Linked DNA regions of Neodiprion lecontei. The protein of the gene in region 3 purifies or fractionates together with the protein of the main gene of each other region. This does not show direct contact. Links are inferred from orthologs where the notes say so. Each region holds a gene or a part of one and is shown on either strand. Other genes may lie near its edges.

Region 1 (10,873 bases), on a different chromosome or scaffold from region 3:
ATAATCAATAATTTTGAGATCATAAGCACAGAAGTTTTAAAACTATTGTAGACTTGTATGCAAACACTACTATTATACCTTCACCTAAGTAACAATATGCTTTTTTGGTAGGTGGTGCTGGCAGAGATTGTACTCTTGCTGTGACGAGTTTGACCCAAGCCATTCTAAATCCTGACTGTCGAACCGTGAGAGGTCTGCAGGCTCTTGTTGAACGAGAGTGGTTACAAGCTGGCCATGCTTTTTTCAGTCGGACACGTCATGGGCCTTATCACCCGCCCAATTCTCAAAGTCCAGCACATGCTCCCACCTTTTTGCTATTTCTAGATTGTCTCTATCAGCTACATCGCCAATTTCAATTCAGCTTCGAATATACAACAGATTTACTCATCGAACTTTATAAACATGCATATTGCTCAAGCTATGGAACGTTCTTGGGTGATTCAGAAGCAGAACGAATTCAGCTTAGATTATCTGAGAGAACGGCCAGTTTATGGTCACATATAAATCAGCCAGATGTTTTGGAAAAATGGTTAAATCCACTTTACGAACCAAATCCTGGCGTTATTTGGCCCAGTGTGGCACCTATCAGCATAGAATTGTGGATGGAACTTTACCTTTTGCATACAAATGCCGCGCCATGGAAAGGATCACTTTCTTGCGCCATGCACATTAAACGGAAGCATTCTGCAATTCGAAAGATCTCTGGTCAGCTTCAATCGCAAATCCGTAAAGGTATCGAAGAAATTCATACCAATCCAGATTCTTCGTACGGGACAGCGAACGCTGAAGAACACCTTCGACTAGCTCAGATGAACTTGGAACCTCAAAGTACTTGATGAAGGGCGTGTAGTTAAATTTAAAGAGCAAAGTCATATTTAAAAAGGATGCGCTTACCTAGTGCCCTTTTTTACTTAGATATTGCAAAACATTTGACAAGTTCCATCTGTACAGTTTAAGAACACGAAACATTGAACCATTTATTTGAAAAATTTATACTTATAATTGATAATAAAAAAAAAAACTGGAGAATTATTATTGGCAATGACAAAATATATAACTATTGGATATATTGTACGTTGTATGTAATTCAAATTGTGTACGTACATAACAAAAAGTACTAGGTCACATCATGTTGGTCTTAAAATATATAAAAATAGAAGACGATTTGTGCTCAGCATTTATGTTCAGTTGTAGTTGCTACAAAGAATTTTTTTCCGCATAGTTCACGTAAAATGAGAAATATAAATGACACAAGGTGACTATCACGTGTACATTAATTCAAAGTTAGCGTATTATCACAATTGTATCATCTTACTACGTTTCTTATTGCACTTATAATGAGTTCCATCCTTTTTCCAGCGATCTATATGAATTAACGGAATAAGAATACCACAAGTCATTATTAATTTATATTTGATAATCAACTGTTGAAGTGGTAGACTGATAATTAATTCAACAATTTTATTTAACCATTTGGATTAACATAATAATCAGCATTGCATATTCAATCCCATGCATAATCTTATATCGATATTATTGAAAGTTGAAACTACTAATTTCAGACATTATATAGGAATATTACACTCTACGGCTAGTTTCAGAATTGAAAAATAAATTTGTCGATATTTTGGAAATAGTGGAATAGTTTCATTATAAACATACGCTTTGGTATAAATTACTACGTATACATTTGCTTCAGTGATGTTTCACCTAAATCAATGGAATTATAACACCACTACATTTCGACATATGCCATATTGTAGATACGTTTATATAATAAATGCCCACGTAACATAGTCTCAACTGCTGGTCGATTGATTAATTTTTTTCCCACTATTTCCCACCCAAGTCTTAAATCTATTTTTAATGGATTTTGGATGAGGACCTGGTTGTCTCCTCCTATAGAACTGCTTCTTTCGCGTAAAAGCTGACATTACCGCGCGCCCTACCGTAGGCAACCTGACCTGCGTCCAGCACGTTTCAGAAGGAGCGTACGTTGAATTTTCATTGGCACATATCCTTGAATTGAGGATCATACTCACAAAGAAGAAGAAATTTAATTTCCCACGTTACGGCAACTGAAAACTCGCGGAATTAATATGGAATAAAAGGAAATTTGTAAGGTTCAACGACTATTATCTGTAATATTTATGAATCTCTGTATTAAATAGTGCAGACGACTCGTATGAGTTTAATGAACAAAATGAAACCTCCTTGACAAAATCTTACAATACCTTATTACATCTGCATATAATGATACAATGATCAATTCTATGGTTATTATCCTAAATAAAATCCTTACCAGATGTATCGGTAATTCGTTTCTGTTATATCAATGCTATACAATATTTACTTCAAGAAGTTGAAGAGAACTTTATTTCTTCGAAAAATTACGTGCTACTTGCATCCTATTGCTTTTTTAAAAAGGGAAGCGAGGGTGGTTTCGGCCGAGTGCCTCGCCTGAGAAATTTCATGGGGCTTGGAATTTTACCGTTACTCGTGAAGGACGGCTAGGGAGGGAGGAAGAAACGGCAGGTGTTCACGCACAAAGAAACTAAAAAGAATATACGAACCATCGGGCGACATACGACAATTTAGAATCAAATTACGGTTATTATAGTACGAAAAACTTCATTACATACAGCTTATTTGTAATCAATATTTCACGAAGCTTGTTGAATCATCTTAGACGCACGTTGTATACTTCTAGGGGGTCACCTTAATAGCTCGGCTCTCCGTGTTATGGGTCCAGCATCCTTGGATGAGTGTGGATCTAGTCACGAATAAGATTTGGAAACGTGGACTGAACTCAAACTCATCCAAGGCCACTAGACAACGAATTCTCCGCCCAGCTTCTGCATTGACTTATCACGTAGTTGAGAACAGAAAATAAATCAAAGACTGATCGTCAGCGTGCCACGACCAACCTCCTTACACCAGAAAAGCAGCTTTCGGAATGATCCGCGTTTAAAAAATTACCTTGCTTGAGAAGGAACTGGTGGGGATGTATGTTCTTGGAGGGGCAGAGGGGAAGGAAAGGGGGGATTTGGGCCTGACCCTTCCTCCTTTCGCTATAATTCTCAATTGCAGCAGATAGAGGGGATTTATTCAGAGCAGAGCAAGCTTTGAACTCAAGGAATCTGGTCAATATTTTATTCGGCAAATTTTACGAAAACTAAATTTTAGAGAAATATTTCTGTTCTTTTCTGACCTTTAAGTTTTCACCACTATCGGGTTTTCCTGTGAATTTAGTTTTTAGTCGCAAACGTGGAGTTAAAATCCACTCCAGCATTTTTCAAAAGATCAACTGCTCGATTCAATTTATTTTGTAATTATACTAACAGAGTTCGCCGAAAAAATGTGGTGTTTATAAAAACTAATGGGGGAAACTACTGCCAACAAAAATATTTTAAAAACGGATTTCATCTTTGAAATAAAATAAGAAGCAAGTGATCGGTTAGAAAAAAGAATTGAAAAATGGCAACTGAGAGCCGATCATCACTACTGAAAAACCAATGTTTCCGACTGAAATGTATAAGTTTGCACAATTTCATGTGATTTGTGCAAAAAATTTATCTAACTTTCCAGTTTTTAAGTAAATTTCCAACAGAGTTTCCGAACGTTCCACAATTTTTAAACAGAATCTGGTAATCGGAAAAGACGAAACAATCACAAAACAGTCTTGTTGAAGATTTAAATGGTGTAGGATTTGTTTAATTTACCTACAATTAGTTTTTTGAAAGAAAAGGAGGAGGTACGGAATTTGTTGTTTTTACAGGTTCAGCTGTGTATCCGAACATAATCAGGAGTATTTTGATATTAAAATGTTTCCAAGCTCGCGTTAATAGGTTAATTAATAACAAATACTTCGTGAAAATCGCAAAACGTCAGCATTGAATTCAACGGCAATTTATGTAAAATTGTGGTGTTTTATTTTACCGGGAACCAACTTAATGCCAAATATAAATTCGTTCAACACAATCCGACAGTCAATCATGGAACAGCCACAGGTTTATCGACATTATTGTCAAAAAAATTAGATTGGATTAGTATGCAAATTTTTAAAATAGTGCATACTAACTAAAAACATCCATAGATGTGAAATTAAATTACTTCATTAACTACAGGCGAAGGGCAGTGATATATCTAAAAAGAAACATCTACAGGGATTTGGTGTTTGATATAAAGTGTGATTACTTCTATCTACATTATTATCCGATTATCCTTCTGTCAATATTTAACCACCATTTAGAATGTAAAGTAGCTAGTCCTTGTAAAAGGAGATGCAGGAAAAGCAAGATACTGAAAGAATCACTAAAGTATTGATGATTAAAAATTATTAATTCTTTTCGAATGCAACATGCAAATTCCACTATGACACCATCTGTTACAATAATTATATATTCGCCTCGGTAGGTTATAGCTCATTTTATACAAGGTACTTCTGAACAGTCTGTCTAGCATTTGGAAAAACTTACTAGTTGTGATATTTTCAATTCGGATTGAACTGAAATTGTAGTATATACATTCAAAAATGTACAAATACAGCTATGTAAGATATATTATAACTAATACTATAATTAAACATGTAAAAACCATCCCAGCTATCAATATTAATCCATCTTGCCGAGCTCTTTGTTCAATAAGCCGCATCGTTGTGTTAGAAAGCCCCAAGATGTTTCCAATATCGACAAGTCTTTTATGAGCACCTTTCAATGTAGATCTTTGCGATCTTAAGCCTTCCAATATCCCAGAGCCATGCTGAATTAGGTCATCCATACCATGCGTTGCATTTCGCAAACTAGAATTATGCTGAAGATTGTGATCTATCATGATATCTATTTGGTCGTTGGGGGTGAATTTTTTAGACAAAAGAGCTTCACGTTCAGTTTCTTCCCTTTGCCGGCGAGTAAGTTGACTTCGCCACGAATTTAAAGCAGCAGCGAGGTGCCGCGAATCATATTTCAACTGGTCCACTCGCATCTTGGCATTTTGCCTCTGTGATACAGGACCCTTCATACACAAAATATCAAGTCGTTCACAGTTACTGAAAACGTAAAAAAGCAAAAGAAAACATGTTAGGAATGAGTTATGTATCTTTCCGGAATACAATGTAGGTATTCAAAGATCCACTATCTAGCTAATTGGAGAAGCTATGATGTTTTGTTTGCCAGATTTATTTTTTAACCTACCTGTTGATGAGATTTATCTTCGACTGTATGTCATGCTCTATTGCTTGAAGGTCCAAGTCCGAATGTTTCTTTTCCAGTTGAGAAAACGAATGTTGAGTTTCCTGCACTAGCTTATTCGTCTGATGATACAAGGTCTCCATAGTTTCTTTAAAGCCTCGATTTATGTTACGATAAGCTTATGCAGCAGAATTTAATGACGTGATCTATCCGGCTACGATATTATTATTGCCAGTTAATAACCTAAAACATTTGTTAGGCATAATGATTTAATTACGCTCAAGGATTTCACGCGCAGAATTTGCAATTATCACCGGGTATTAAATATTCGTTATTGATATCACAGGTGGAAATAATCCGTATCTTTGAATAAATAAATTATGCAACAAGAGTACGAGGTGGACAGATGTCTTTCGATAACACGTATGTAATGATTATTAACGCATTACACAGCTTTTTTCAATACTCACAAATTTTCAAATTTTCGAGAAGCTGCATCGAAACTTTGCGATGGAATAATTGATAAATTCATTGGTTCCACCGTCAAAACATTGTCTGATAATATTTAAAGTCAGTCAGAGATTCGGATGTAACGTGGACATCATGTGTCACGTCAGGCATTTTCATGTTGGAATCATGTTGGAATGAAATTGGAATTGCAGTTGTCCGCTGGCGCTAGAGTGCAGTGGCGTTGCTAGCTACTCGCCTAGTCGTAAAGCAAGTTGGGTGGCCTAGAAAAAGGCGTTAAGATCGAACGCATGAGGCAACCCCGACGAGAATCGCGTAACAAACCGGGGAAAGTATAAGATAATCGAGAAACTTGTGATAATACATAGAATTGGGAAGAAGGCAACCCCTTGAAGAATTTAATCCGAAATAATTGATCGTGAAGGTAAATGTGTTAAGTGTATTTTTACGCAGATTTTGATGACAAAACGAAGACGAAATTTTGGACGAAATCTTATTCTAATAGTACGATGCGTAGGTACTATTAAAGCCCCGTGTTGTTGGCTTATACGCAGTTTATTAACGTATTATTACAGGCAGTGAGGCCTTTGTATTGGATAAAAATAGGAAACCTCTGCGTTAGCAGTGTCAGCGTTAATTAACGGCTAATTGACGTGACGCTAAATGAAATATTGTAAGTAAAAAATAAGTTTCCGCGAGCTCCGCTCACTCCATAAGGCTCAGTCATAACGTAAAGCAACGTGTCGGACGGATCAATATTTCACCCTCTTGCATCCGCTATTACCTATTTACAAAGCTATACTAATTTTAGTTTGCCAGATCAGAGTATAAAAGTGTGTTCATTCGGTAAATCGATTGTGACGTTTCCCATCTTGAGTACACATATAAAGGAAAAAATTTACATCACGATTCAGATTCAATCTACTCTCGCCCGACGGTTCTCTACGATGTATGCATGACCAGAATTGTATGCATCGTTTGTGTTTAGTTAAATTTAAATCATTGTAACCACATTTGGCACTTGCCGATTGCGTAATAGAATTCACATTATAATGATTAACATGTGTCGCACATCTAAACGAGAAAGATAGGATTCTATACCTGCAGCACGCGGGTGTAAAGGAAGTCCAGTTCTGACGTGACCGTCCGTAGATGCAGTAGTTATTTGAATTGCATTGTTTCATCGTCAATTTTCGTAATTGATGTAAAAAATTGTTATCACTTTGATACTCAGATGATTTTTACCAAGTCGTGTCATAAAAGATGCTATAGTGACCATATAATTATATACCTAGATATGTGTAATATAATTTTCATGCCGTACATGTCATCATAAACGAAAACTATCTAATCATCTGCTTCATCATTTAGTAAATATCTCGTGTTCAAATGATTTCTGGAAGAGAGTTTTCACATAGAAAATAAAGCCGTTTCATCTCGATTCGATCTAAAACCTTCAAAAATGGAACAGCCACTAATTCAATTGCGCTTACCGCTGCAACACATGTATTAGTCATTCATCCGAAGATGTTTTTTTTACTTGAATTGATTGTAATGAAAGGAATCGAATACATCGCAGTGAACGTTTTTTTGAAAATTTATGTAACATATACCTAACTCCGAAATGGAGAGTATTTGAAGCGATTTCTTGGAAAAATTATGAATTGCTCTAATCCTTATTAATTTGCGAAATCTTAAAACCAAATTTGAACATTTTCCAAAATTAATCAGGTTTCTCTAAAACACTCGAATTTTCTACATTTAGTTCAGGATGTTGTGGTTTTCTAATTTTTCAAAAGTAAGTCTGAAAAATTCGATAGATAAATATTCAGAATTTTCTAAGTTACATGAAAATATTTTCATCCACTAAAGAAAAAAAATGGATTTTGAGTTAATTATAATAATTAGTTTTCATGCTTTGCCCTGATGCTAATTCTCTCAACTTACAATTATACTTACTTTTTCCAGATGTGGGGAGAGAAGCACATGTCTTGCTCTCGTACGAGAACAATCACGTGGTTAAAAAATAGTTATAGGGTTCAGTTTAGTAACTCAAACCTTAACAAAGTCTGTGACGTTAGAAGTAATGCATTTAACTAGCTTGTTGGATTAATATGGTAAATAGTTTATTAACCCAGATTACAACCATGATAAATTCTATCATAATGCTGGAGAAATCAGGCGCTATGCTAAAATTCTACCTCCGCTATATGTACAAAGTTATGAAAACTGAATTGAACTTATTAAGTATAAAATGAAATATATTCTGATATAAACACGTATTTATACACGATATATAAATGTATAGGGTAGCTTTTCATCTTTAATACGCGTCTCTTCAAGTATTAAATGAAAATCAATTATTATACTGTAATAAGCACGTATGTATACTATACATAAACATAAGGGAAGAGAACTGAATGGACATAGATACATATATGATGTGAAATAGAATAGCAGAGTTAAAGTACCTACTTAGAAATTTAAAGTAAAAAAGATCAAATTCAGAAACTAATCATGGCTATACCATATGATGAAAGCCTAATATGGCTAGTAGTTGTTGGATTCATCGTCGCATTTATATTGGCATTTGGAATTGGGGCAAATGATGTCGCAAACAGTTTTGGAACTAGTGTGGGTGCCGGTGTTCTGACAATAGTTCAAGCTTGCATTTTAGCTACAATATTTGAAATAGCCGGGGCTGTACTCATAGGATATAAGGTAAATGTGCAACATCTGTAAATTTTTCCTGTTACTCGAAGTGCTTTTATAGCCATCATTGCACATCAGTACATTTAATTATAATGCTAAAACTCTTTCGCCCTGATTTTAGGTATCTGATACAATGCGCAAAGGCATACTCGATGTGTCACTGTACGAGGGACATGAGAAAGAACTGATGCTCGGTGCACTTTCTAGTCTTGTTGGTTCAGGTATTTGGTTGATGATTGCAACTGCCTTGCGTCTTCCTATTTCTGGGACTCATTCGATTGTTGGCGCAACTGTTGGCTTTTCACTTGTATGCAGAGGCACTGCAGGGGTATGTTCTTCACAATGACAAGAAAAGTTTGAGATACTAAATGATAAATAATTGGCTTAATACAACTCATAAGTTAAACTAAGTAGGTGAAAGAAACTATATTATTTAATTACTAGTTCTAATGATTCTTGAAAAGTTAAGGTTCTCCATTTGAATAATGCAAAGAAAATTCTACAGCAGTCTATTTAATATTTTTAGGTAAAATGGGTGGCTCTTGGAAGTATAGCAGCTTCTTGGTTTGCTAGTCCCGTACTAAGCGGCCTAGTGTCAGCTTCCATTTTCTTAACACTGAGAAAAACTGTTTTACAAGCTAGTAAACCCCTGGACCGAGGTCTCCGAATCCTCCCACTAGCTTATGGCCTAACCATTGCTACAAATGTACTCTCGGTTGCACACGATGGGCCAAAACGTAAGTTAAACACATGGTTTAGGTAAGCAGAGGCATTTCACTTGAACTCAACCACAATTCACCAGATGAAATCTTGTTATTCAGGAAACTTGCCCCATGTATGTATAATATATAAACCTATATAACAAGTACGAACGGTTTTTTAGTGTTGAAGCTGGATAACATACCCTGGTGGGGTAGCATTATAGCCGCAGTAACTAGTGGTTTACTGTCCGCTTTTGTTGTATACACATTTGTAGTCCCATGGCAGAGAAAAAGAATATTATTGGCTAGCGATGGTGTTGGTGGTGCCACAGAGTTCGATGCGTGTGATAGAAAAGAAACAACTGCGCTGTCAGTCATTGCTCCAGCTCCTTCATCTAGTAAAAATTCTGAAGAAACACCAAAGCTTAGGGGCAACACTAGTGCGAGTCCCTTATTATTAACTGTTGGGGCGGATGTGGAAGGTCCGAGTGTTGAGGCTGGAAGAGACGATGAAGAACCAGTAGAAGTATCAAAACTCTTCTCATTTCTCCAAGTATTAACTGCTGCATTTGGAAGTTTTGCTCATGGAGGAAATGATGTTAGCAATGCCATAGGACCTTTGATTGCATTGTGGGCAGTCTATGCTGACGGTTCTGTTCGTCAAGAAACAGAAACTCCTCTGCCTATTCTTCTTTATGGAGGACTAGGCATATCAGTTGGACTTTGGATATGGGGGAGAAAAGTTATTCGAACACTCGGCCAAGATTTAGCACGAATTACTCCAGCTAGTGGATTTACAATTGAGGTATGAGACAATTTTTTACTTACAAGACATGCCGCTGCATTATTAATGTCACTATGATTTATCTGCAAATGCATTCGATCCCAACAATCCATTTCTTCCAATTATTGCGCTCTTATTTGCTGATAACTAACTATAACTATTACAGGTAGGTGCAGCACTAACAGTTCTGTTGGCAAGTAAGGCTGGTCTTCCAGTGTCAACGACGCATTGTAAAGTGGGTTCGATTGTGTGTGTCGGATGGGTATCACGTGGTGGTGGTGGTGTGTCCTGGGCGCTATTTCGTAACATTGCCTTTGCGTGGTTAATCACTGTACCAGTTGCAGGATTATTATCTGCTGCCTGTATGGCTGTGTTTAGGCAAGTACTTACTGTCTGAGTCGAAGAATGAATTAGGTATAAATACAGCTTAGTAAAAGTGAAAGCCATCCAATACAGCTATTGTTATTAGGACATAAATAAAATGAAACTGAAATAAAGGTGAAATACTTTTTCTTCCGGTGGTCTTACAAGTTCTTACGAAGATACATGATTTACAAACAACCATAGTTTTTCGCTGTACTTAAAAATGTCTATTAGAAAGGCATTTACTTTGTAAAGTAACTGATGCTGGCTAGCAGTCTACATGTTCAATGGAATTTGTCACACTATTGATAAACACACAATAAAACAGAATCATACAACACAAACATAGTAAGTTGACGGCAATTTTTTTTCATCTATTAGTATTACTCAATATCTATATTTTTGAACAAAACCTTCCAGGAATCAGAGCATTACTTCAGAAATTCTCTAATATTTGCCAATGGCAGAATAAGGTAAGTTATATCCATTGAATTCTACACAAAATAATTTCTAAAGGTAATAAACGTATTTTGGAAAACATATTCTATCAATGTATATGCAGCATTCCACGCCAAATCAACCAGCGTTGGACCCTCACTGTTTTGGATTTTGTTCAAAAATTTTCATGCTATTATGCCAACTCCAAAACAGTACAC
Region 2 (12,199 bases), on a different chromosome or scaffold from region 3:
ATCCAAGAAAAGAAACAATTGTTCCAGTACGTGAAAAGTACTTTCGACAGATCTGAAAATACTATTGCATCATGTGACCATGTTCTTTATAAACAAACCGGCACTCGAGAATTGTAGTTTTCAGAACTTTTACTGAAATGTAAGTTTTACAAAACTGCCTAACATGCGAAAGACGGAAATTCTCATAAAAACCAATTGAAACTCTTAATTTTAGCCTGGTAAATCTGGAGAAATATGGTAATAATCTACCATGTAATATCTTTATTGACTAATTGTAAACTCTGAGAAATTTCTACAACTTATTTGTACCTTTTGAAATACTTTTTCCGTGGTGATTTCTGGGTCGACCGGCGACGCGCACGCCCTCAAGACAGGGTCGCCAGCTTGACAGATATGGTGATATGGGGGCTGCACCGTATCTCTGCCTAATAACGTTTGATAAACTTGCCTAACTTTCCGAAAACTGAGGCTTCTCCTGACTTCATTGTTGCCAAAAATCATTCTACGAAAGATCAATCGATGGGCACAAGCTGCCGGAGCCATTGCCAACTCTTAAAAATGCCTATAATATATCTTTCGCTATTCCCAATCTCGACGTAGAGGGTCAACACTGACGTCTGCAAGAGCGGAGCTTCAGAGAGCAGTGTGCCTAATTTGTTGGCGCCCTCTCATACGAAATAGGTTTTTGAAACTAATTTTCAAGATGTCCTGGACGGTAAATCCGGGTCGGTTACCAATCTGCACCGTACCGTGTGCGTCACAAAACTAGTCGGTAATACAGAGAGATGTTCACTATAGCGAAGTGCCACTGTAGTGGTCGAAACTGAACAAATCACAAACCTGAACGAATAATGTTATCGCAGCATAAATAAGTAATTAACAAACGTTATGGGCTTTAAATTTATGGCAAGCATTGCTCGTTGACACATAATTCTGAAGACGCTGAGCGGATAACAACTTGTTTTTCATGTACTAGATAAAGTTTTGAACGAAACAGCCATTTACCGGAATTCGCTCTGAGTAGACTAGGAAAATCCGAGTTTATCACGATTCCATACGCATTACACAATATTGAGGCAACAATTTTGCAATTAGTTTCATTTACGGAACAATAAAATTGTAATTTAGAAAAGTGCAAATTATTAGTTTTATTTGATCAAAAAAATGAATCGTTTTCTAATTTTCAATAAATATTAATCTAAAATAACCCATCTTCCTTAATTTGAGAATTCGTTTTCTAGTACCTCGCTTATTAACTCATTATCAGCCCTTCCTTTAGACAAATTCAATAAATTTTTACGGCAATGTTCGTCAATTGTCCATCCAGCAATGAGAAAAATGTGTAATATTTTGCGTCAGAAGCGGATCTGCCAACTATTAGTTGTATTGTTAGTATAGTCATATAAAACGCTACATACACATTTGGGTGGTTCAAAAAGTTTTTTTCCGTTCTTACCCCCTCAAATGTTAGTGTTTAATAGAAGAAAAGAGCTCTTTAGCTCAAGTCTAACAGGTCTCTATTTTAATTTTAATTTCCCATTCATTTGACATGGGAAAATTCGTTAAATGTTAAAATACTCATAAACTGTTCAATATTGTTCAAATTGATGCATAGATCCTTGAAGCTGATTCTTCAAACTTTTCAAACATTTATAACAAAGCATAGTTATCATCATGAGAACACTACCGATTTAATCTTTTTCAGTAAAATTCAATAAAAATAGTTTTCCGATGACTCTAATCTGTGTCGTAAGTGTAAACTATTCTGTAGGAAAATATTGTTTGGATAAACATTCTGTAGAAAAATATTCTGTAAAAACGAGTTTGTAGTTCTATAAAAAATGTACTCTGTAGAACTGATTTCTGTAGAATCGAACCGCATTCTGCTAATATAGTACTCGTACCATCTCCGATTGAATAGGAATAGTAAAATTACACACTTTTAACAGTGCAATAAGAATATAACAGAATATTACTCACACAATATACTTGGATCAGATTTCACCTCACTACAGACTAACCGTGTAAGAATATTTTTTATTTTTTTTCCCTATTTCAGTCTTTTGTGACGTATTAATAAATGAACTGGGCCAATAAATAATAAATGGCTAATAAAATAAGCACAATTATTGAAGGAATGTATAAAGTCAGTGGGCAGCATTCAAAATGTTTGCTATCATTTCCGATCAAAAGCGACAATGTAATTAAAAATCGTTGTTACATACCTTTCAATTGTCTTCACTGTAGCAGTTGGTTTACTCTTCACTTTGTTCTCGAACATCGATTGATCGGGTTACTTAGTTCAGATCATTGCTCGAAGCGGTCAATAGTGCTGCGATGTAGTCTGTCCCTGTAATCGAGTAAGAAATAACAATATTTTATAAGTTTCTTATTTTCCATATGAATCCATCCCCCATAGAAAATTTACAATATTCTTCCATAATATAATCAAGGCGTGTATAGCAATAAATTTCAACTAACAATAAAAGATAAATACCTCAAAGTGAAAGTAGGATCATAGTATAATCAGGAATGATTTCAAAAGTATCTATTTTTCGTTCTTCTACAAGATTCTGACGTGCTCAGCATCTGCATTTTGTTTTCCAGCATTGATTGCTAGAACCACTTAATATAGATATTCACTTGTAATGACAATCAATCTTGCCGTAGTCTGTTCCTGTAATCAGGTGAAACAGCACATTTTTTTACTATTTCATGTTCAAAATCCATATTGTACTTGAGACCAAATACATGCAATTTTGGTGTATTAGCTTATGCCACTACTCAAATATGTTGTAAATGACATAATCGAGTGAAAAATGATCTGGATTGTTTGGGACTTGTCACATTTCTGCAATAAATTAATCTGGACACCTACCACATAATGTTTTTTAAGATTTAGTGACTGGGTCTTTCAATCCAGTAAACCACGTCTATCAACGTTGTTGAAGTTGGTTTCTGTAATCAGGTAAGACAAGACAATATGTTGTTAACAATGTGACTTACAAATCCACACAAGTAGCATTCAGAACTTAATACAATTATTAAAAAATGTCATATAAGGAATAAAAACAAATGAACGATTTACATTCGTTTGTGTTCTTTATTTACGATCACTTCGTCATCCGTAAGATGTACGGAAAATTTACCGAGGTCAAACCACTTGAAATTTTCAAATACGTAACGTTGTAATGTATGAATTTCTGTTACAGTACGCTACGAAATAAGGGTTATAGTATCGGTCCCCGGTAAGAAATTCGGAAGAGATGAAGTGAATGACTCGAAATTCGAAGAAATACTCACCAGTGATAAACACGAACCAAAACATGCTTTCGAACATTACGTTTTACGCATCCTATGAACGCAGCTACACATAAAAACAAAGCACTCTTGAACTTGCAACGGTCGAGTCTTCCTTTCGGCTAACGTTCCAATAAGGTTGATTTTTTATACACAAGAAATAATACTAAAGGGTTGCATCCACATTCGACATCGATCCGCGATCCGAATTCCGAGACGTGAACTCGAACGAAAGTCACGTTTCGCAAAGTCCGTTTTATCAGTAAGTAAGACAGGAAACCGTGACAAAAGACGATCTCGGCATATTCACGTCGTAAAACGCGTGTGACTTTGAGTCGAAAATCCGTTCGAGAGTAATTTGACTCTCAATCTGTCGATAATGTATTTAGCAAACTTTAGAAAGCCAAATAAATTTAGCAACGAATCTGCATACAGTAATAACACTCAAATCCAAGCTCACTCGTACTTTTTGTACTGTAACTGGCTGCCTGAACCGACTGAATAAACTTGCGGACGACGTAACTACGCACTATCCAAAAAACAGCAAACAAACATTAAAACAACAAAACAACGCTGACAAACGAGAAAATTGTACAAAAGAATGAACACTCGAGACATGAAACTCACCTTCGATATTCACCGGCTGCTGTTACTTCAATAAGCAATTTTTACGTCGAGCCACGCGTTTACGATTATTATATTAATTATCCTTTTCTTCTGCTTCTTGCTCTGTATGGCTATATCTCGCGAGGGCGCCGGGATACCATCAATTATCAAATTTAAGCTTGTTTACCAAATCATGTTACACAAACTGAACACGGCGATCTATATTTTGAACTGATGCCGCTACGAACCTACAGGTATAGTTGACACACGTGGCTCTGCTTCGGTTACTTGAAAGGAAATAGCGGCGAATTGACGAATAGCGAATGCCCGATGACGACGAGCGATTCGGCTGTGCAAAAGCAAGTCTGGACCGGCAAACTGAAGATGACGATCTAGCTGCGTGCGACGAATGCACAGTCTGGCGATACGTAAAAATGGATGAAACAGAGAAGAATCGCAAACCCAGTTTTTTTTCCAAAGCACGAACACAGGATTGAAACTAAAAAAATAATGTTACCGATGATGTAGATTTCTAGATAGATATTTAGCATTGGTTCATCTCGTGTAACACTGTCACCTGTAACGATTGATTAATCCTCTGCGAAAACCCAATTTCAACCCTTCAATGGAGATTGTACATACTAATAGAAAACAGTAAAAATTTTGGAGTAAATTTTGAGTTTACAAAGTTCATTATTTATTCGTATATGTCGCAATGGTATCATTTCTTAATGTTTGTGATTTGTTCGGTTTCGACCACGACTGTAACACTTTGCTATGGTGAATATGCACTGCATTATCTACTGCTTTCACGTTGTGTAATACAGCAAAGCATTTGTTGCTAACGTAAACGATAGATATACCGGTACTACAAGCGCCTACTGACCTACGATTTTATAGAATTTAATGCAGGTGACGACACTTGTCCATACATTTCTGATTAAGTAATAAGATGCAATCCACTCTGGCTGTTCTATGGTATGTGACTCAAATTCAAACCGGGAAAAATTACTTTAATCTGCTTCAATGTGTTGGTTAAAGATATTTTATGCTGACGACGGGATCACGGATATAAAAAAAATCTTCTATATGAAATGACGTTCTTCCAACAGGAGAATTATTTAATCTATACAGTCATTTCATCTAATACAATACACGGACTTGCGACACATGTGTATTTAAAATTTTTTATGAAACTTTTTGTGTTGGCCAGTGGTAAGTCAACGGTAGGTAAAGGCCCACTCTATACATACTGTCAGCTCTACGGTGTAACGAGCACTGTGATCATCACACTTGCCTCTATACGTGGAGTAGTTAAATCGTAGAAAATGGCAACTGTTGCAGGTGTTATCGGATGGGAAGGTATTTATTGGCAATATAAATTATGTGTTCAATAAAATATCGTAACGCAATAACGTTAAATTATAAAATGAAATTAACATTCTTTCTTCGTATGATATTCCGAAAGGAAATCTTATAATTCTTCACTCCCGTTCGATGCTATCGTTCAGTTTGACTTTTGACAGATCTCACATAGCGTATTGTGTCAAATAACCAGAAGTAAATACATTCCAATTTACATGAATTTAACAATGCTCTAAGTGGCATACCCTGCATGAAGATCATGCTTTTATTTGTTATTATCGCTCCCTTTCCTGAGCTACACATAAACATTGAATAGTCAACCTTGTACAGTCACACAATAAAATATAAACATATCATCATGAACAGCATAACAAAACAATAGATTCATCTTAATAACGGTCATGCTCTACAGAAAGTTCATACTTTGCTGTGTGAATGAAAAAAATATTTTAATATAAATCAGTGATAAGTTATTGCACTTTTAAATTACTTTCAGAACTAAGAAAACAAGCTCAGCATCTTGAAAATGAAATTGATGCGAAACTTGATGCCTTCAATAAATTGGGTGTCAAAGCAGGATCTGCTCATTCTAGTAGCGATACTGTTCCTCTGCTCGATGAGGAGCATGTATTTGAAAATATGGCTACAGAGATAGAATCGCTATTCGCCAAGGTAAATAAATTAATTTCACTTAGCCTGAAACATGACATTTTTTAAATATGGCTCTAGCTTCATTAGCAAGCAGCCAATTAGTTTACTCTAATCTTCATGTAGAGGGAAGTCCCGTAACGCCGGACAGCAACTAGTACTAGACACACATGGTATATCCCATAGTCAAAGCAGTATCTACAGCTTTCTTGCGTGATTTGACATGTGCAATGGATGTAATGATGGGGGTATATACCGCATGCAGCAGCGTGCATTCGTGCGTTGCTGAGAGTCAGTTCACGTTTGAGTCTGCATAAATTTTCGTCGCACCTAATTTTCACATGCTTATATTTTCAAAAATTAGTGGTTCTGTTGTTTTGTTTTTCCGCTGGCATATTTTTTGGTATGTATTCTTTCAAACAATGTCCAATGAAAGTTGATATATTGCGAACGAGCACATATTTTGTCATTCACGCGTGCATTACAGGTCCCTAATACCGGACACTCGATTTGTCCCCCAGTACCGGACATCCATTTTTTTCTCATCTTTTTGTTATTTATACAAAACTTTCACCTACTTATTTTAATAATATTTTACCATAACTAACCAATCGAAAATACTCAAAAAAGGAAGATGGTCCGAAGAAAACATGAAAAAGGCAGTTCAAATGATCTTGGGTGGAAATATGACCGGTAGAGAAGCTGCGCTGAAATATAAACTACAAAAAAGTATCATGCAGGGCTCAAATTTTAAAGAACTGGTGCACGAGGTGTACGCAGATATTCCTGAGTTCTCTGAGCAATATATTTGTGACCATTGCAAGATTTATTAATGATTTCTTTCCATTCGTACTATCAGCGTCCGGTACTAGGTGCCTCTTTTCTGACTTACTGGTATTTACTACTAAATACAATAATATTTTTTACTTAGTTTAACGTTATATAATAATTCACAAAGTTACTATATCATTGAAAATACTCCAAAGATGAACATAACCATAAAAACCATTATGTTTTCACGTAGGTTACGATTTTATTTACGAATATCCTTATGCGTTTGGCACTGGGGGACTTCCCCCTATGCTTTTAACTTTGCTAATTTCAATTAAAAAAACAAGTCAAATAACGAAATAGTGCTTGTGAGCTTGCTTTTATTATTGATTCCAGTTATCTGCAGTAAATGACAAAATGAGTGAAATAAAACCTGATGGAGGGCATATGTTGCATAGGATACAACGTCACAGAGAAATTTTAAAGGATTATAAGTTGGAATTCAATAAAACTCAAAATAACTTCATCGCCAGACGTGATAGAGAAGATCTCCTTAGCAGCGTGCGGAAAGAAATTGAGTATGCACCTCTTACAGTATTATATCTGCGATAGACGTTCCAAAAATATCTGACTTATATTTTTTTTTCACAGTACTCATGAAATGTGTTATTTACTATTTGAATATACCTCAAAATCTGGACTCTGGCAGGATTAGCAGGATTTGCAAAAGTTTAAATAGAACAAGAAGGCAAAATTTTCATTGCAAAGTTGTGTGATACCAATGAAAAATTATCATGACTAATTCATAGGAAAAATAGAGATCGAAATATGCATTATAAATTGTTACCCCATTCAAGTTTTGTGTGATTCAAAATTGGAGTGTAAATAACAGATTTAAGTGAGGTCAGGTTAATAAAATTAAACTAGTTCCTCTTTCAAGCATGTTAATATACAATCTGGAGTTGCAGTTGTATTCAAGTAGCCATGAGTAATGGCATTTGCTGCGGAAATGATTTTTTATTAATCTAACCAGATGTTGTTAAATTTCAGTAACTATAAAAGTGGCAGTGGTCTCAATAGGAGAGACCAATACTTGAAAGAAAGTCAGCACATACACAAGTGAGTATTATTTGCAAGCAGCCAACATTTAATCTGATGAGTTTATAGAATAGTGAGGTTTCACTGAAGCTTCGGAAGTAAAGAAATATCATGAACAAAACCTTACATGCTAACAGTAAGTCCGTGTATTCCTTAGTTAATCTTAAAATGATGAAATGACATTGATTCTATTTCAGCTCTGATCGATTGGTCAATGACCAAATAAGTATAGCAGTTGAAACGAGAGAGCACTTGGTATCGCAACGCCACACGTTCAAACGGATTCAAACCCGTTTCAACGACATCTCTAATCGATTTCCAGCTGTGAACAGTTTACTGCAAAGAATAAATATTCGAAAACGCCGTGACTCTATTATTTTAGGACTGATTATCGGATTTTGTACATTTCTGATGCTACTTTATGCATTTCATTAAGTTGGATTGAGTTGACATTAAAAAAAAAAAAAAACTAGGACTTGGTACCAAATATTCGGTGTAAATAGATTCAAACGTATAGACATGTAAAATTAAAATATAACTCAAGTTGAGTAATGATTGAAATTTTTATTACGAATATTTTGAGCATCGATATTATTACGTGCATGATTTTTCAACATCTTAAGACATTCAAATGATTTGAATTGACGTTCTGACCCTACGACCATTATTGAAAAATTACATAAATACAGTACATAAAGCAAAAGGCGAGATTAACGTGCCAGCAGAGACACTAACAAATTCGAAGTAGTTTCAGCTATAAGTAATCGGTAAATCTTTTCTCTCTAGAACAAGTTTACACTATATCTTGACTTTCTGAAGCACTAAAATGAATTACAAATGCGATTACCTGATTATTAGTGCCAAAAGTTAATAATTGTAAACTTACAGAATTTCAAACCTTTCATGCGGAAAAGGTATTCAGGTTTAATATATATACCTACTGTCCAATTGACCATCATCCTTAACCAAATTTACTTTACTGACTGACTGCGTAAAAAACTGTCGTTTATATATGTACTCACTCACTAGTTACACGTACCTGCATTCAGCATTTTTCTACCTAGAAGTTTGTTCAATGACTGCTGTAAAATACACATTAGAAAATTTCACCATTAACTCTAACTTTTTTGTTTTCCCCGTAATATTAAAGTTTACCAATGTCTTCTATTTTTTTATTACAATCTCATTATACTACAATAATTATATCAGTAATGAGCCTTTACTAGATTTCTGTAAGTTAATACTTTATTGAAATGGCTTGGTTAGTACATTAATGTGCTGGTGATTATGTATCATATGTAAATATGTCAGACTGAAATAAAGAGTACGACGTACATACGCATCATTTTCCAGATAGTTGTTTTTTTCAAATACCACGAAGCCAAGTAATGAAAAATAATCAATGATGAATCTGCCAAGACGAATGATCAGAGAGCAATAATTAAAATACTTTTATTAAGGAACGGTTTTTCTAATATACCTGTACAGATCTTTTACCAATTCTCTCTCGTGAATTTATGAACGCTTGTTGATTTTCTATAGTTATATAGAACATATAATAATTATTAATCAATACTTATAATAACGAGGGGTATTTCTATTAGTTACCATATCGGATAATTGGAGTCGCCAATAAGCTAAATGAAGTGTATTCCTATATTCAATGACATGGGTATATTGAAAGATGAGGGTGAAATTACAATTAAAGAAGCATAAACATATAATAATACCTTATATTGCACGCCCAATCATGTGCAGAAACTTTATTGTTACAACGTAAAATAACATCGTATGTACCAAGTATCGATCAACATTCCTCTGCATTTTTACGGAAATTGTAAATAACTGTGCTTTACAATTACGAAAAACCGAATTGGAAAATCTGATATCAAGATTGAGATATGCAATGGATTGCAACAAGTACGGGTACAAGTTAAAATGTTCTTCACAATTCTTACAACCTGAATGAGAAATTTTAATACCAAGCTAACGGATATAGCGTACAATTGGTAAAAAATTAATAAGGATGAAATAGTTTTAACTCCTAATTGAAAATACCAAGAACGAAATACTGTTACTTTTTTGGATGTGATTTTTATTTATTTGGATGTGAAACACTGGTCTCATTACGGCAATAATTGCACTTTGTATGTACATCCGTTATAGCTGAGAAATTAAAATTCCACAAATTTTACGTCCTCCCACAATCGATAATATAATCCACATTCCCTACAACTTTTATATCATACTCAGATGTGTCGTAAAGTAAATAAAAATTAGCCCATAGGAAGGTAAAGCATGGATAGTGAATGTATGTGGTGTATTGTCACATTCCTCCTTTTCACAGTCTCTCAATTCAAATGCATGTTCACATGGACGCTATTACTAATGAATCTCAAAACTAAGAAATTGAAGGAAGAATGCTACATGTCACCTTCAGTAAAAATTACAGATCACAGTTATTGAAACGTGAATAGTAACAACATAACACCTTTTGCCTTATGGATGGTGATAACAACTCTTTCCCAGTTTTTACTTCAAAGGGGAATATTTGTGCAAAAATGATGGGAAGTACACAACCACAATAATTCTAAAAACGATTGTATTCAAGCAAAGTTGAAACAGGGAAACTATGCATCGTACACATAACTTGTTTCGCCATCAAAACTATATTGAAATTATGTAATTGTTGTGTAATTGTACTCAGATAGATTGAATTACGACTCTCAATACTGTATGCGATAGCTGGCAGAAAAAACAAAAATAACGCTATTGAACTGTAAGTCAATTGTCGATTTATACAGTTATATGCCTGCAGAAGTGTTAAATTGCTCACTTATCTGTGGTACTTCATTTTATCTCACAACTAAGTGTAGGTGTGAGTTAAGTAAAGAGACTTAGTCATATGCCAATTTCAATGACAATTGAAAAATAAATTTTCTTAAGCAATCTTCACACGGAATTGGGATGGTAGAAAATGATGCATACTTTGGTACAAAATTAAATATTTCGATATGAATTGCAGAAAACACAGAGGAATGTAGAAACGTAAATCATATTGTGTCATCTTTGAAGACGTTTGTTGAGGTTTGAAAAAAAAGTAGGATTTTTTTGTTTTATTGAGTTATCTGGTAGACACTCATCTTGCATTGCGATCCATACAAACACCTAATATACACCACGGGTATTATTGTGAATATAAATATATCATGTTCAGCGTGTCTAACATTAATAGTAATCATTAATTGAATTATTATATTTATATTATTTAGTAGTATACTAAACCATACTGTTGCCTACTATTACCTACATATGGTACCTTGAACTCAAGCATTATCCCAGCTAAACTTTTAGCGTGGTTCATATACAATACGCTTTGCATTCTGTACCTTAAATTTCGCATTGCTCGTATTTCATACAGCATTCAATGCGCTAAAGTGCTATATTGAATGTAAGCACAATGAAAATATGCACGACACTATGCCCAGCCTTTAATCTAAAACCATCAGTGAAGGAATAACAATCATAAGCCACCGATTAACTTTTGACAATATATTCACAATAACGGACATTCGGGTGAACGCATTTAGTTATCGATTATATGCGCCAAGTTTTCAGGCTATTCAGATGATTTGAGAATAAAAGCATGATAAATTTCATTTAGTCCATAGTAAAGTAAAATATGTGGAAAAATTTAATCGCCAATCAAAAACTAATACTGATGAAATAATTACTTCATAGGATACAAAATAATACATAACATTTTAAAAGACAAAATAACACCACTATCGTTCAACCTTTTTATAGAGTGTGAAGTTTAGTTAGTTTTAAAAATTTAAGTTTTTTGTTTTTTTACGTTGAAACACTTACTGGTTAAACATTACATTAGGGAACAAAACATGATTTTTTACGAGAGATGTTGGAAACATTTCGTGATTGAACATTTGTTTGTTAAATAAAGATAAATTAATAATAATATTGAAAGAATTGGTATTGTAATATTTTGATTGAATATGAGTTCATTAAAGTATATTCAGGTGCAATTCAATTCTGTAGATGACTCTCAAAATAAAAAAAAAACCAACACATTAAAGCAACCAAAACTGTCAATGAATCCATTTCGTAACAACTTAAGCCAATTAATAACGTAACTTAGATTACCAGCGCAAAACAAATAATCGTAGTTGCTTGACCTCCATGCACTATGCTGTTTTGTATGGCTAGGGGCATGTTTGCGTTGTTTTAGAGTTCTTTTAGTTCTATACCATAAAATACCCAAGTGCACGAATCTATATTCACCAGGAAAGTTTATAAGATTTTTTTCTTTAGTGCCAATCAGACAGGTTTGATTTTGTCAACGAATTTTCTATACTCAATAATATAATTATTTTCAGTATTGGTTGATTTGGCA
Region 3 (10,833 bases):
TCCGAAAATCTTGAAAATATTTTGAACTCCTACCAATGTAACTTTCTACATCATAGACACTGAAGTTTGCAGGTGGAACAGTCATGTCGAGGCCATCTTTGCCGTCAATGATAACAGGTGTTTCAAATCCATGTGTTTGTAAATATTGTAGTGTCAATTGCTGACCCCTGACATGTTTGATGATGTCATCAGACTTTGAAAAATGCCGTGATTTCAGCTCTCTTATAAAAACAGGTGTCCCAGTCTGGACTGCCTTTGAACTTGCTTCCGACTCGGCATAATCATGCCGGTGCCAATTCATTCTGGTTTTCACTGCAAGTGATGAACAAAAAAAATTAAATCCAACAAGAATAAAACTGACTATCAAGATTATCATTTTTTCATATCTTTTCTCTCGCTTCCTTGAAACTAAGTCCGTCTTGGCTATACTCACTCAGGGATGGGCCGTTTGTTTCCACACACAATGGGCAGTGGTACTTATCAAGATCTGTTGACGAATATTCCTTTACCGATACACATCTATTTGAATGAAATAATGTTATAACAATTGTTAAACAGCTTATAAGGATGATTAGGAAAAAAATTAGAGTAAATATGATAAGTTTGCTTTAAAAAAAGCCTGAAAATATCAAAAGAGTTTGACCTAACCTAAATTATGGTTAACAATTTATATTTCATGGGTTCCTTTGACTTGATAAAAACTGTGTGGACAATCTTAGCTCAACAACAGTTCTTGATTTCTCGAGTACGCATAATATTTTTAATAGTTTATTTCCGAACGATAACATCAATTGAAAAATTTAGATGCTTTTAGGTTATGTCAACAAAAATAGAGTGTAAATATCAAGCTGTCGAAGTTTAGGCCAACTATTTCCACGCTTCTCTGTATCAAATTATTGCCGTAGTATCATCATAGTTATAAAACCGTTTCACAAGTACTCACAAAATATTTTGACAGGTTGAGGATATTCGATTATCGAATATGACAACATTGACATGAGAGGTTTGTGACGCGGAGCAGCCAATAGACGCACTTTTTATAAACCAAGGAGCTTGAGGAGCTTCGTTATGCTAGCATCGTATAGGATTTAGGTGACTCACCCTCCGTGGTACCATTCCTTACAAACATCGCATTGTATCATAAACTGTTCGGGAGTGTAAGATTGACCGCAGAAACAATACGTTCCTGGCTGCGAGCGGGCAGCTCCCAGCTCCATTGTAACAATTACTAATATTGGGCGTTGTTATTCCGAAGCAGATTCCCGTTACTGAAGGTATTGACCCCTCGAAGCTGCGGCTATCCGCTACGGTTCCATTTTCTTAGCTGACTGAAAATTCCGAGGAATTCTTTTAATTCAATATTTCTAGAAAAATCGAACCTTCGGCTCACTGACTCGTGAAACGAACGCCTCCTTACCAGCCGCGGCGTCACGTCATTCATGATCCGTGCACTGATCATCGATGGAGCGTGAAGTCATTCGTGTCAGGTGTTATACTGTTTTGTCGATCGACCAATTTCAAAACATTCTCTTTTCAACATTGTTCCTTCGCTACACTACTGTTTTTGTTCTTGGTATTTGAATTCCTAATTGCAGCATTCATCTTTCACAGAGGGAGCGTTACAAATAACGATATGTCGAAGTAAAAAACATTAGTATATATCGAGCATGGCAGCCCAATAGACGTATGGAAAGACATAAAATCAATGTTTTCAGTATGATATCTAGTTTTGAAAATTGCACAAAACCACTTCTACCCCTGCTGAATACAGATGGATAATCTTCGTAGTTAGCTTCATATAATAATAAATAAACTTTGCAAATCAGTCAGAGTACTTGGATGGTGGGAAATCTGAAAAATTAAAACACAGAATCGAGCCCCTAGTCGTTGTCAAGTAATTCGAAACACAATTCACTTTGCATCTAGTGACAAATATTCGAAATGTGCTGGAATTGGCTGCACTGAATGTTCACAACCGATTCCAGCGACATTCAATCAACGACGGAGTTCACGTCAAGTACTACTATCAATATTACATACATCCCGTATGTGTGTCATCTCATATATATGTAATATTGCAATGGCAAATTGACAGTCAACCGCACGGTCTTAAATACATAGGTATACACAGTAGAGATCAGTGCGTACAGGTCTGGGAACTCACTCAAAATTTCACTGGTGGGGTGTCCTTTTATTGAAGCACGGGCCGTTTTTCCTAGTGACCACGAGTGTCGCTGCTATCGAGGGATTCAGGCTATGTGAGAGAGACGGAAACAGATTTCAAAACCGCGGACGGTCAACAACCTGTTTCCATCTCTTTCGCACAGCCTGAATCCCTCGGTAGCAACGACACTCGTGGTCACTAGGCGGAACAACCAGTGCTTCAATAAGAGGACATACCCCCATCGCCAGAGTTCCCAGACCTGTATGTAAAATCGTGGTCAACCGGCGTTCGGATAACTTTGTGACAAACACGATAGAGTTCATACGGCTAATCGTAAACGTAGATACAAATCCCACACGTCAGGATGTCGACCAACGTAACGTCGATTTTTAACTCGTTCCAAGATTACCTCAACACGGAACAAGAACTCCGTGAGGTACGTGTTTATAGACAATAATAATACGTGGTGTAAAAATATAATTAATTCAACGAATACAGTAAACAATTCGACACAAAATGACAACAATGTCAATTAACCTTTACACGGTTTTCTTGATTCATTCAGGAAATCCGAACTATCGTCAAAGAGATTGAACAAAGTGCAAGAGAAATCCTGATGGTACTTCAAAATATTCACAATGAGAATGTGTCCGAGGAAAATACTAGTATGATTGTAAATTTTGTAATTCTATTACCATCTTATTTTTTGTTTGCTAGATTTACTTATTATTTACTGTATATCAATTTATTTATTGTTTGCTTACTCAGTAGTGTCGGAACACTGTACTAAGGCAAGGTGTCTATTTGAGGATGTACGAAAGGGTTATGCCAAACTAGCCGCTGTTGTTCCTGAGAATCAATACTACCGATTTCATGAACATTGGCGTTTTGTCACGCAACGTTTATGCTTCCTGGCTTCTCTCACTATATATCTAGAAGTCAAAATTCTTGTGCACAAAGACACGGTTGCAGAACTATTGGGAGGTACGTTGACGATGACAGTATTACCAACTTATTATCTAAAGCCTGAATCCATAATTAGTTGTGTAATCTCTCTATAATTTAAGTAAAGAGCAATCGAGAGGAAGGATTTCACTTGGATCTTGAAGATTTTTTGATGGGACTTCTGCAGCTATCTTCAGAATTGGTATTCACGAAAAATCATTATTATTTGTGAAAATCGTTCACCCATAACTGCAGTACATTATTTATAAATATTTTTTCTAGTGCCGCTTTGCAGTCAACAGCGTAACGAGTGGAGACTATGATCGACCAATAGAAATATCCAGGTTTGTGAATGAATTGAACGCTGGATTCCGACTCCTCAATCTGAAGAATGACTCTCTTCGTAAACGGTTTGACGCCCTGAAATACGATGTTAAAAAGATCGAGGAAGTCGTTTACGACCTCAGCATTCGAGGACTGAAACCTGCTGTACCGCCTGCTCCAGTAGATTCGAAATAGAAAGGCAATTCTACTACCACAATACATTAACTATTACTCACGATACCAAGTGAGAAGCTGCGCCAGCATAGGTTTTGCAGTGAGGTTAAACATGTGGACATAATTCAACTTGATTTTGACAATCTTCTCGAAGATTATTGCGACGAGGTGCGACAGTGCCTAGTTTTTGTAATGCTTGATACCAGTTCGTAATAAAAATGACCATAGTTATACTATATGCAGTTATTTTATTTCCAACAACTAAGTCATTGATTCATTGCACATTCTTTATTGCTCAGATTAACAGGTCGATTAGTATCCCCTCGTTTTATTTAAGATACTTGGCATTATTTTCGGTGAAGAATTGCGCTATACCGTGCGATCGCATTACTTCAGAAATATGCGGCTGGATTGTAACCTGTAGGAAAAGACAAAATTAAGAACCGATGGTGTTCGATGGTTTCGTGCGTGGTCAAACGGTGTACATGACATCGCAAATATCGATGGTCTGATACATGGAGCCTAGAGTAAATGGTCTGATAGGAAAATAAAAAACATGCTCTTTACCTCTCTTCTCGTTTGATGACGAAAAAAAATCGTGAATATTTTTTGCCGTTTTCTGCTCGAGAATACGCTGTATTTTTATTAATACGAGTACCAAACTTCAAATCGATTCATCTATTACAGTTCGAGTTATCGTGTACACTGTTTTGAAAAACCTAGGTTTAAGTAAAATTGTTTAATATTTTTCTGAGTATAAAAATTTAATTAAGATGTATCTTACTGTTAATCTACCATTTCTACCTCGTATTGCATTTAAATCTTAACCGTTCAAACTATTATGAATATTCGAGGGAAAAAACTCTTCAATATTGATAACTTCACTCGTTAAACAACTCGTTGTGGAGAAAACGGAGGCAAACGAAATTTACTTGTACACGTGTGGACGCGAATCCTGAAACAGCCTATTTTTTCCCTAGTGGATTACGTTGGCAATGGAGAATTTCACAATCAACCCGTAGCAAGAATACGTTTGAGGTTTTCAAACATGGAGACTACACTTGTTCAAAGCAATGTATAAATAATTCTGAATTACCATGCTTAAACGGTAGTGTATATTCGTTGATAAATAAGTGACAATATTTAATACCAGTCAAAATAATATTTTCTGTAAGATCGTACCGATAATGAAGCTAAAGCGTAACATTCGACTAAATGGGGCAGCCCTACGCGAAAAATAGGCATTTAGTACTACATTAGCAATTATAATAGGTATTTCTCATTCGGTCAGACTAATGAGAGGCCATAATGTCAGGTTGAAAAGATTGAATCAGCGTAGCCATAAGCAGGCCGTAAGACGTAACCAACCAGCGATTTCGATAGCATTCTTACTGTTTGTTCAAATGCCGACGATCACAACTCGTTTCTTGTTGTGACACGTCACCGAGTGACAATCGGGTCCCGAGAGAACGAAACGGACACGTCATTTGCAATGTTTGCGAAATTTATACGTTCAATTTTGTAGCAAACGAAAAAGGTAACGAATAAAAACTTGATTGCACAGCTTGAGGTGGTTTTTATTTTTTATGTCTTTCGCCTGACATCCGCCCAAGTAGAAAATAAGCGCAAATTATTATCGAATTTTGGGGTTATGTCGAGATCTCAAGTAAGTTTAGTTGTGTTTCAGTGTTTTGTTCCAGGAAAATGAGGAGAACGCACGGGACAACTAGTCACAGATAGTCCTCGGAACATTTCAAAATTGATTCAAAAATGAGGCGGTCGCATTCGGGTTAGTCGGATGTGCTGAAAATAAATAAACAAATCTTGTCTGTCAAGTTAAAACTAAAGGTATTTTCTTCCCGTTTTCAGGGGGGTATGCTTATGGGCCGTTGCCAAGCACCTCTCACGATGCTCTGGAGGAAGAGAACGAACGGATAGCCGATGAACTGAAGGACAAAATAAGCCTCCTGAAGGCAGTGTCCATTGATATTGGTACCGAGGTTAAATACCAGGAAAAAATGTTGAATGGAATGGTTAGTAAGGAGGCTAATTAAACAGAATGCGGAAAATCAAACTGACAGAATTCAGTGTGACCAATTACTGAAATTAGAGTTTGTCTTACAATTATGTTTATTCAAATTTTGTTTCAGGACGAAGATTTTGAGAGGACGAGTGGCTCCCTGACTTCCTCTGTGTCTAGAGTATTGCGTATGGCGAGGGCAGGACATAATTATTACATCATTTACCTTTTCCTTTTTTCAATTGCTGTATTTATTGTGTTATGGCTTGTTCTTAAATTTAAATAATTTCTATAAGGTGTAGAGACACGCTCCAACTTTTTTGCGCATTCTTAGTCTACCCATTGACTGAAGAATATAATTTTAGTTATGAAAGAATATATATTCTTCAGTCAACGTTCCACCGTATGAATGACATGTTATTGGTGAATGGTATTTCTAATTCTACATGTTATGTGTAATAGAATAATTACTTGAATCATTCAAATGTAAAATACAAAGAACGTTTATTTTCAAAATTTCGTTATTATGAAAGGCCTAAACTTAGAATTGGAATGTCAATCTGTTGAGTATTTGAAATTTTGATGTTCGAACGTTTTTTTTTTTTCTTTTATGGCGGGTCATAGTTCCGCCTTTTTGATACAGACTCCATATACTTACACGTCGAAAATCGGCATCGTGACTTCGACTTGTTTATCAGTGCGATTTAACGATGACGGATATCAACGAATCTGACTTGTACAAGCTATTTAAGAAATCTGAAGAAGCTGAAAGCGTCTATACAATCGGAACTACCGTAGACACAGGTACAACACATAATAATACACGTGTTACTGCGTTTGTTTTGTTTCTTTAAACATAACCTAAACGTGTGATACAGGTTTGGAATGGCAGGCGGTTGACGAATGCAAAGAGAAGGTGGATACGACTTTACACGTTGTCAAGGAGCGTGGAAAAATCTATTTTAACATACGTCTGGACCAATTTTCAAAAGTACTATTGCCAATATTATCATGATGCCGGTATTCGATCATCGTTTGTACAAATTTTCTTTTTGCTCCTATTAAAAAAAAAAAAAAAACAGGTAAAAGAAATGAGATCGATTGACAATATTTTTCTGGTATCCGATGTCCGTCAATTCAACTTCTCAGAAGATGATGGCGAGACTGATTTGACGTTGCTAAAAAATGCAATAGAGAAAGATCTCAGGCTAGAAAAGGGTTTGGAAGCATGGAAAGCAATGACTGGCTTTCGTGGCAAACTTTACCCTAAACAAGAAGAATTTAAAGATGCGGATAAACTGCTCAAAGCTGAAAAAAATCAGCCCCCGGAAGATGCAGTTGTAGGGGATGTCAGGAAGGGAAGAAAACGGGGTAGAGATCCGTCCCTATCCAGTGAAGAAGACATCCTCAAGTACAGAGTGACTTGCGAAAGAACAGGTTCTCATGCCTTTGAATCTGGTCAAGTTGCGAGAGTAATCGGGGGAGAATTACAAGATAAATATTTCTGGCTAGTCGACTTGACCATGTACCATCTGGAAGTCATTTGCAATCTAGTTCAGAGTGGGTTTCCTCAGCACAGTTAAAATGTGAAATACATATTGAGGTTCATCCTTCAATAATTGAAGTTTTTTGATCTGCTTACTCACATTTACAGATGAGCTGGCAACCTGTCTTCGCATAACTCATGAGTCCAAACATCGCCGTAATATTATTCACTTTGGCCCAACTACGCTGCGAGCTACTGTGTGTTATAGTTTATTACGACTTGCGAACCCAAAGCCAGGGGATATCATAATCGATCCAATGTGTGGCGGAGGCTCCATACCGATCGAGGTAGAACGATTACCCTTGAATAGATTTGACAAAAAAACACAGCTATTTTTCAATATTTTTAATATGCCTTTACAATTTGATAGGCAGCAATCGCTTTCCCAGATACATACGTTTTGTGTGGAGATAATCATGAGAAAGCTGTTGCTAGAACAAAGTTAAATATCGATGCTCAATCTATCAATCATAAGACAGAGCTGATCACATGGAGTGTCGCCAAATTACCGCTGAAAGATTCTTATGTTGACATTGTGGTAACTGACATGGTAGGCATATCATTGCTTATATGCCAATACAACATATGTCTTTTGCTATTGTTCGTTGTTATTAATTTTTCAGCCATTCGGAAAGCGAAGTGGTTCAATGACAGACAACAGAGTGCTTTACAAAAGATACATTACAGAGTTGGCTCGTGTTGCAAAACTAGGTACAGGACGTCTGGTTCTACTGACTTACGATCGTCGCAGTATTCAAATGGCAAGTGGGCTCAATTTTCACAAGATATTTGTAATACTTGAAACGCATTAGAAAATTCATTTTTTTCGCATCTTGCAGGCTTTACAATCCGCAAGCAATTTATTCAAAGTGATAAAAATGCTCGGGGTTAATATGGGCGGGTTGCACACAGCTGTGTATGTTTTGAAGAGGACCAAGTTACCGTATAACCCGTAGAAGAGTAATTCTTCGACTTTGCAAGACTGATAAGAATCAAGCACAAGTTATCAGGATACTTTGTTTATTGTAAAGTGGAAAATATGATTTCCATAAACATTGAATACCACGATTTAAAATTATTTATGTTCACGTGCCTAAACGTATTTCAGTAGGCTTCGATTCAGCATCCAGTAAAAATTATGCATACGTATACAAGGCATATACGGCAAAAACGATGTCTATTTACTACAAGAAGAACTTTCTTCTGCTAGTTTCCATGGCATGTCGACGTCCTTGTATTATCCATTCGTATTCACCATATTTACTGTCGAACGTCCCTCGTTGCAGAGATCTCAATTTTAGGGTGAATCTTGGGCCCAATTCTCTGAGCTTTGCTTTCCCCTTTTTTAGGTCAAACTCGTATCTGGATGGATTAAAAATGGATGCATTAACCAATTTTATCGTTGGAAAGATTGTTAAATTGAAAATTCAACAAGCTTAATTCTACCTATGATGTCTAAAAAAAATATAATCTCGCTGATTGTGAAATGTGACTGCCCTGCGTCCCTTGAATTCGGGATCGTAGTGAAACAACGCCCCAAGCATTCTTCCAACCGAATGTCCTAGCCTGGTCGTGAAATTGTTTAAAATCACTTCTGGACGATGCTCGGTTATTTCTTTATGCGATCGCTTCAACTCTGGTGTAATTTTAACATTACTAAGTTTGAACTGCGCCGTTGGACCATCGGGCAGGTGCACAACAAGCATGCCATCTGATCGGCGTTATTAAGGAAATGTAAGAACAATAGTTTAAAAAAATTGGAGCAAAATGGATAAGACACGGATGTCAATTTTCATGCCATTGAAAAGGATACTTGGCTGTTTCATATTTTCATTTATCACTATCAAGTCCGTGAATCCCTTGGCAATTGCACTTTTAACCATCTTCTTGACACCCGATCTGTTTCTGTAGAGCGATATAGAGTTTGGAATGATGCGAGTCAACTCGCGACCAAATATTCTCGTTTTTCTGAGAGGGTTGTCAGAGTAGGTAATGAGTACTTTGGGCTCATATGTGTGTTTGTAATAGGATGCAAACTCGTCGTGCTCAAAATCTACTTTGACCTCAAGATTTTCCTCCGCATCAACGTCGCCCTGGATTGTAGTCTCGTCCTTTTCACGCAGACTTTCGATGGTGTGAGGGACTTTTTTGGGCTCGCCATCCCTCTGGCGTTTTTTCCTTTCTTCTTTTTTAGCCTTCGCCTTTTGCCTACGAAATTGTTCACTTTTTTTATGGCGAACTATTTTGCATTTTATGTGATTAAAATTGCTGTCGCTCGGCAATGAGACTTTGGGATTTTCGGGTGGCGCGATCTCGCTAACTTCAGTTTCTTCCTCCAATGGGACTTCACGTTTCAACGGATTTTTTCGTAGATTCTTCAATTTCATTTTAACCCTCAATTGTGAAGCGATCTGTTTTTCAAAATATCACGATCTCAGCTCACGCACAAAACCATGCGTACTAAATTTCAGGTTATGTGTTGAGAAGATTTATGTATTATACGATTTTGTCACGGCGCATGCGCACTGTGTGTTGGGTTGCGTCGCTTCTAATTTTTTCTGACAACTCATCTGTATTCTTCGTGATTATTTCATGGTTCAGCAGCAGATACAGTAGCGTTCTGTGGGAAGGAGAAGGTTTGCGATTTTGTTAAACGCAGTTAAACGTTTCACTCAAGGAATCATGGTGTCAATATTATTCGAAATAATTTCATAAAATCCGAAATTACACTGAAATTAGTAATATTGAAATAAAAGTCTGCGTTACTAATCAGTGGCAGTTATGAAAAATCTTTTAGGATAACAGAAATCTCGTTGTAATGTTAAGAAATGATATGAAATCTTAGAAATCGTGAGAAATCACCTACGCAATGTAAAATTATTTGTCAAGTAATCTCTCGTAATCACTTTATAAAATACAAGTAATCATGAAATATTTTAATCGTGGTGTGACTTTTTTCTCAGTGAAACACCCTTTACCAGAGTCTCTCTTACTCGCCGAGTAATCGGAAAATTCAAACGTACGCCTGACGCTGCAATCAACGGCAATTCTGTACACATCCTAGGCATTTTTGCGCATTTCCCGCGCACAGTTCTGATTGGTCGAAAACTTGGTGGATGAGACGATTCCGGGAATCGGAGCTCCGCTTGACAGTCCGCGTTGGTCCGCGTCATTCGCTCTCGAACAGCTGGAGTGAAACGCCGGTCGACAACAGTCTCACAATCAAATCAAGATCGCGATATTCAGTCTGTGTAACGTATTTTCGTAAGTGGTTGCCGACAAATGACGGTCAAGTAAGTAGAAGAATCGTGGATGTTTAGCTCTAAGAGGAAACGAGTTATTGAAGTAAGAATCGCTGGCGTAGCTGAGGTGAATTTCGTGGTTCGAGTTTCCATTGTTTTGTGCACTTTTAGGTTTATAGTGATCTCGATTTGGGTCTCGCCGTGTGGAGTGTAATTTTTGTTTTATTGTTTGCTGTTTTTCAGCAAATGCGTAATTATACCGGTTACAGCACAAAAATGAAGAGTGAGCGTAGAATCGAGTATTATTAAGGTACAGATTCTTATATTAATACTTTTTTGCGACGCGTGAAAAAAAAAAAAAAACTATCGGAGGCGAAACAAAAGAGTTTCCGTCACATTCAACGAGATTGAAGTTAGT

The links. Proteins that work in one complex are often made in the same cells at the same time.
Region 1: the proteins of BET1-like protein (region 3) and Golgi SNAP receptor complex member 2 purify together in Homo sapiens (affinity purification with mass spectrometry; 3 studies listed by BioGRID and IntAct, with this or other methods). This does not show direct contact. The link is inferred for Neodiprion lecontei from reciprocal best matches to the Homo sapiens genes BET1 and GOSR2.
Region 2: the proteins of BET1-like protein (region 3) and Golgi SNAP receptor complex member 1 purify together in Homo sapiens (affinity purification with mass spectrometry; 3 studies listed by BioGRID and IntAct, with this or other methods). This does not show direct contact. The link is inferred for Neodiprion lecontei from reciprocal best matches to the Homo sapiens genes BET1 and GOSR1.

The regions. Positions count from the first base shown.
Region 1 is NC_060263.1:23,684,885-23,695,757, reverse strand, and holds Golgi SNAP receptor complex member 2, read right to left. Parts: upstream 5,817-10,873; 5' UTR 5,660-5,816; intron 5,433-5,659; 5' UTR 5,333-5,432; coding exon 5,193-5,332; intron 5,048-5,192; coding exon 4,549-5,047; 3' UTR 3,910-4,548; downstream 1-3,909. Other genes in the region: myotubularin-related protein 9, read left to right, coding at 112-836; sodium-dependent phosphate transporter 2, read left to right, coding at 8,175-8,378, 8,491-8,697, 8,896-9,106, 9,253-9,875, 10,021-10,251. UniProt on the Homo sapiens protein: Involved in transport of proteins from the cis/medial-Golgi to the trans-Golgi network.
Region 2 is NC_060262.1:25,006,715-25,018,913, reverse strand, and holds Golgi SNAP receptor complex member 1, read left to right. Parts: upstream 1-5,146; 5' UTR 5,147-5,234; coding exon 5,235-5,268; intron 5,269-5,767; coding exon 5,768-5,943; intron 5,944-7,086; coding exon 7,087-7,268; intron 7,269-7,740; coding exon 7,741-7,809; intron 7,810-7,985; coding exon 7,986-8,223; 3' UTR 8,224-8,290; downstream 8,291-12,199. Other genes in the region: peptide deformylase, mitochondrial, read right to left, coding at 310-543. UniProt on the Homo sapiens protein: Involved in transport from the ER to the Golgi apparatus as well as in intra-Golgi transport. It belongs to a super-family of proteins called t-SNAREs or soluble NSF (N-ethylmaleimide-sensitive factor) attachment protein receptor.
Region 3 is NC_060264.1:34,539,225-34,550,057, reverse strand, and holds BET1-like protein, read left to right. Parts: upstream 1-4,604; 5' UTR 4,605-4,715; intron 4,716-4,988; exon of another isoform or gene 4,989-5,144; intron 5,145-5,283; exon of another isoform or gene 5,284-5,294; 5' UTR 5,295-5,377; coding exon 5,378-5,396; intron 5,397-5,476; coding exon 5,477-5,640; intron 5,641-5,757; coding exon 5,758-5,913; 3' UTR 5,914-6,337; coding exon of another isoform or gene 6,338-6,431; 3' UTR 6,432-6,505; coding exon of another isoform or gene 6,506-6,618; 3' UTR 6,619-6,621; downstream 6,622-10,833. Other genes in the region: histone lysine demethylase PHF8, read right to left, coding at 34-312, 434-519, 1,102-1,217; translin, read left to right, coding at 2,529-2,600, 2,730-2,829, 2,933-3,148, 3,232-3,311, 3,392-3,628; THUMP domain-containing protein 3, read left to right, coding at 6,338-6,431, 6,506-6,618, 6,710-7,187, 7,282-7,460, 7,544-7,934, 8,013-8,065; probable ribosome production factor 1, read right to left, coding at 8,358-8,535, 8,620-8,884, 8,987-9,560. UniProt on the Homo sapiens protein: Required for vesicular transport from the ER to the Golgi complex. Functions as a SNARE involved in the docking process of ER-derived vesicles with the cis-Golgi membrane.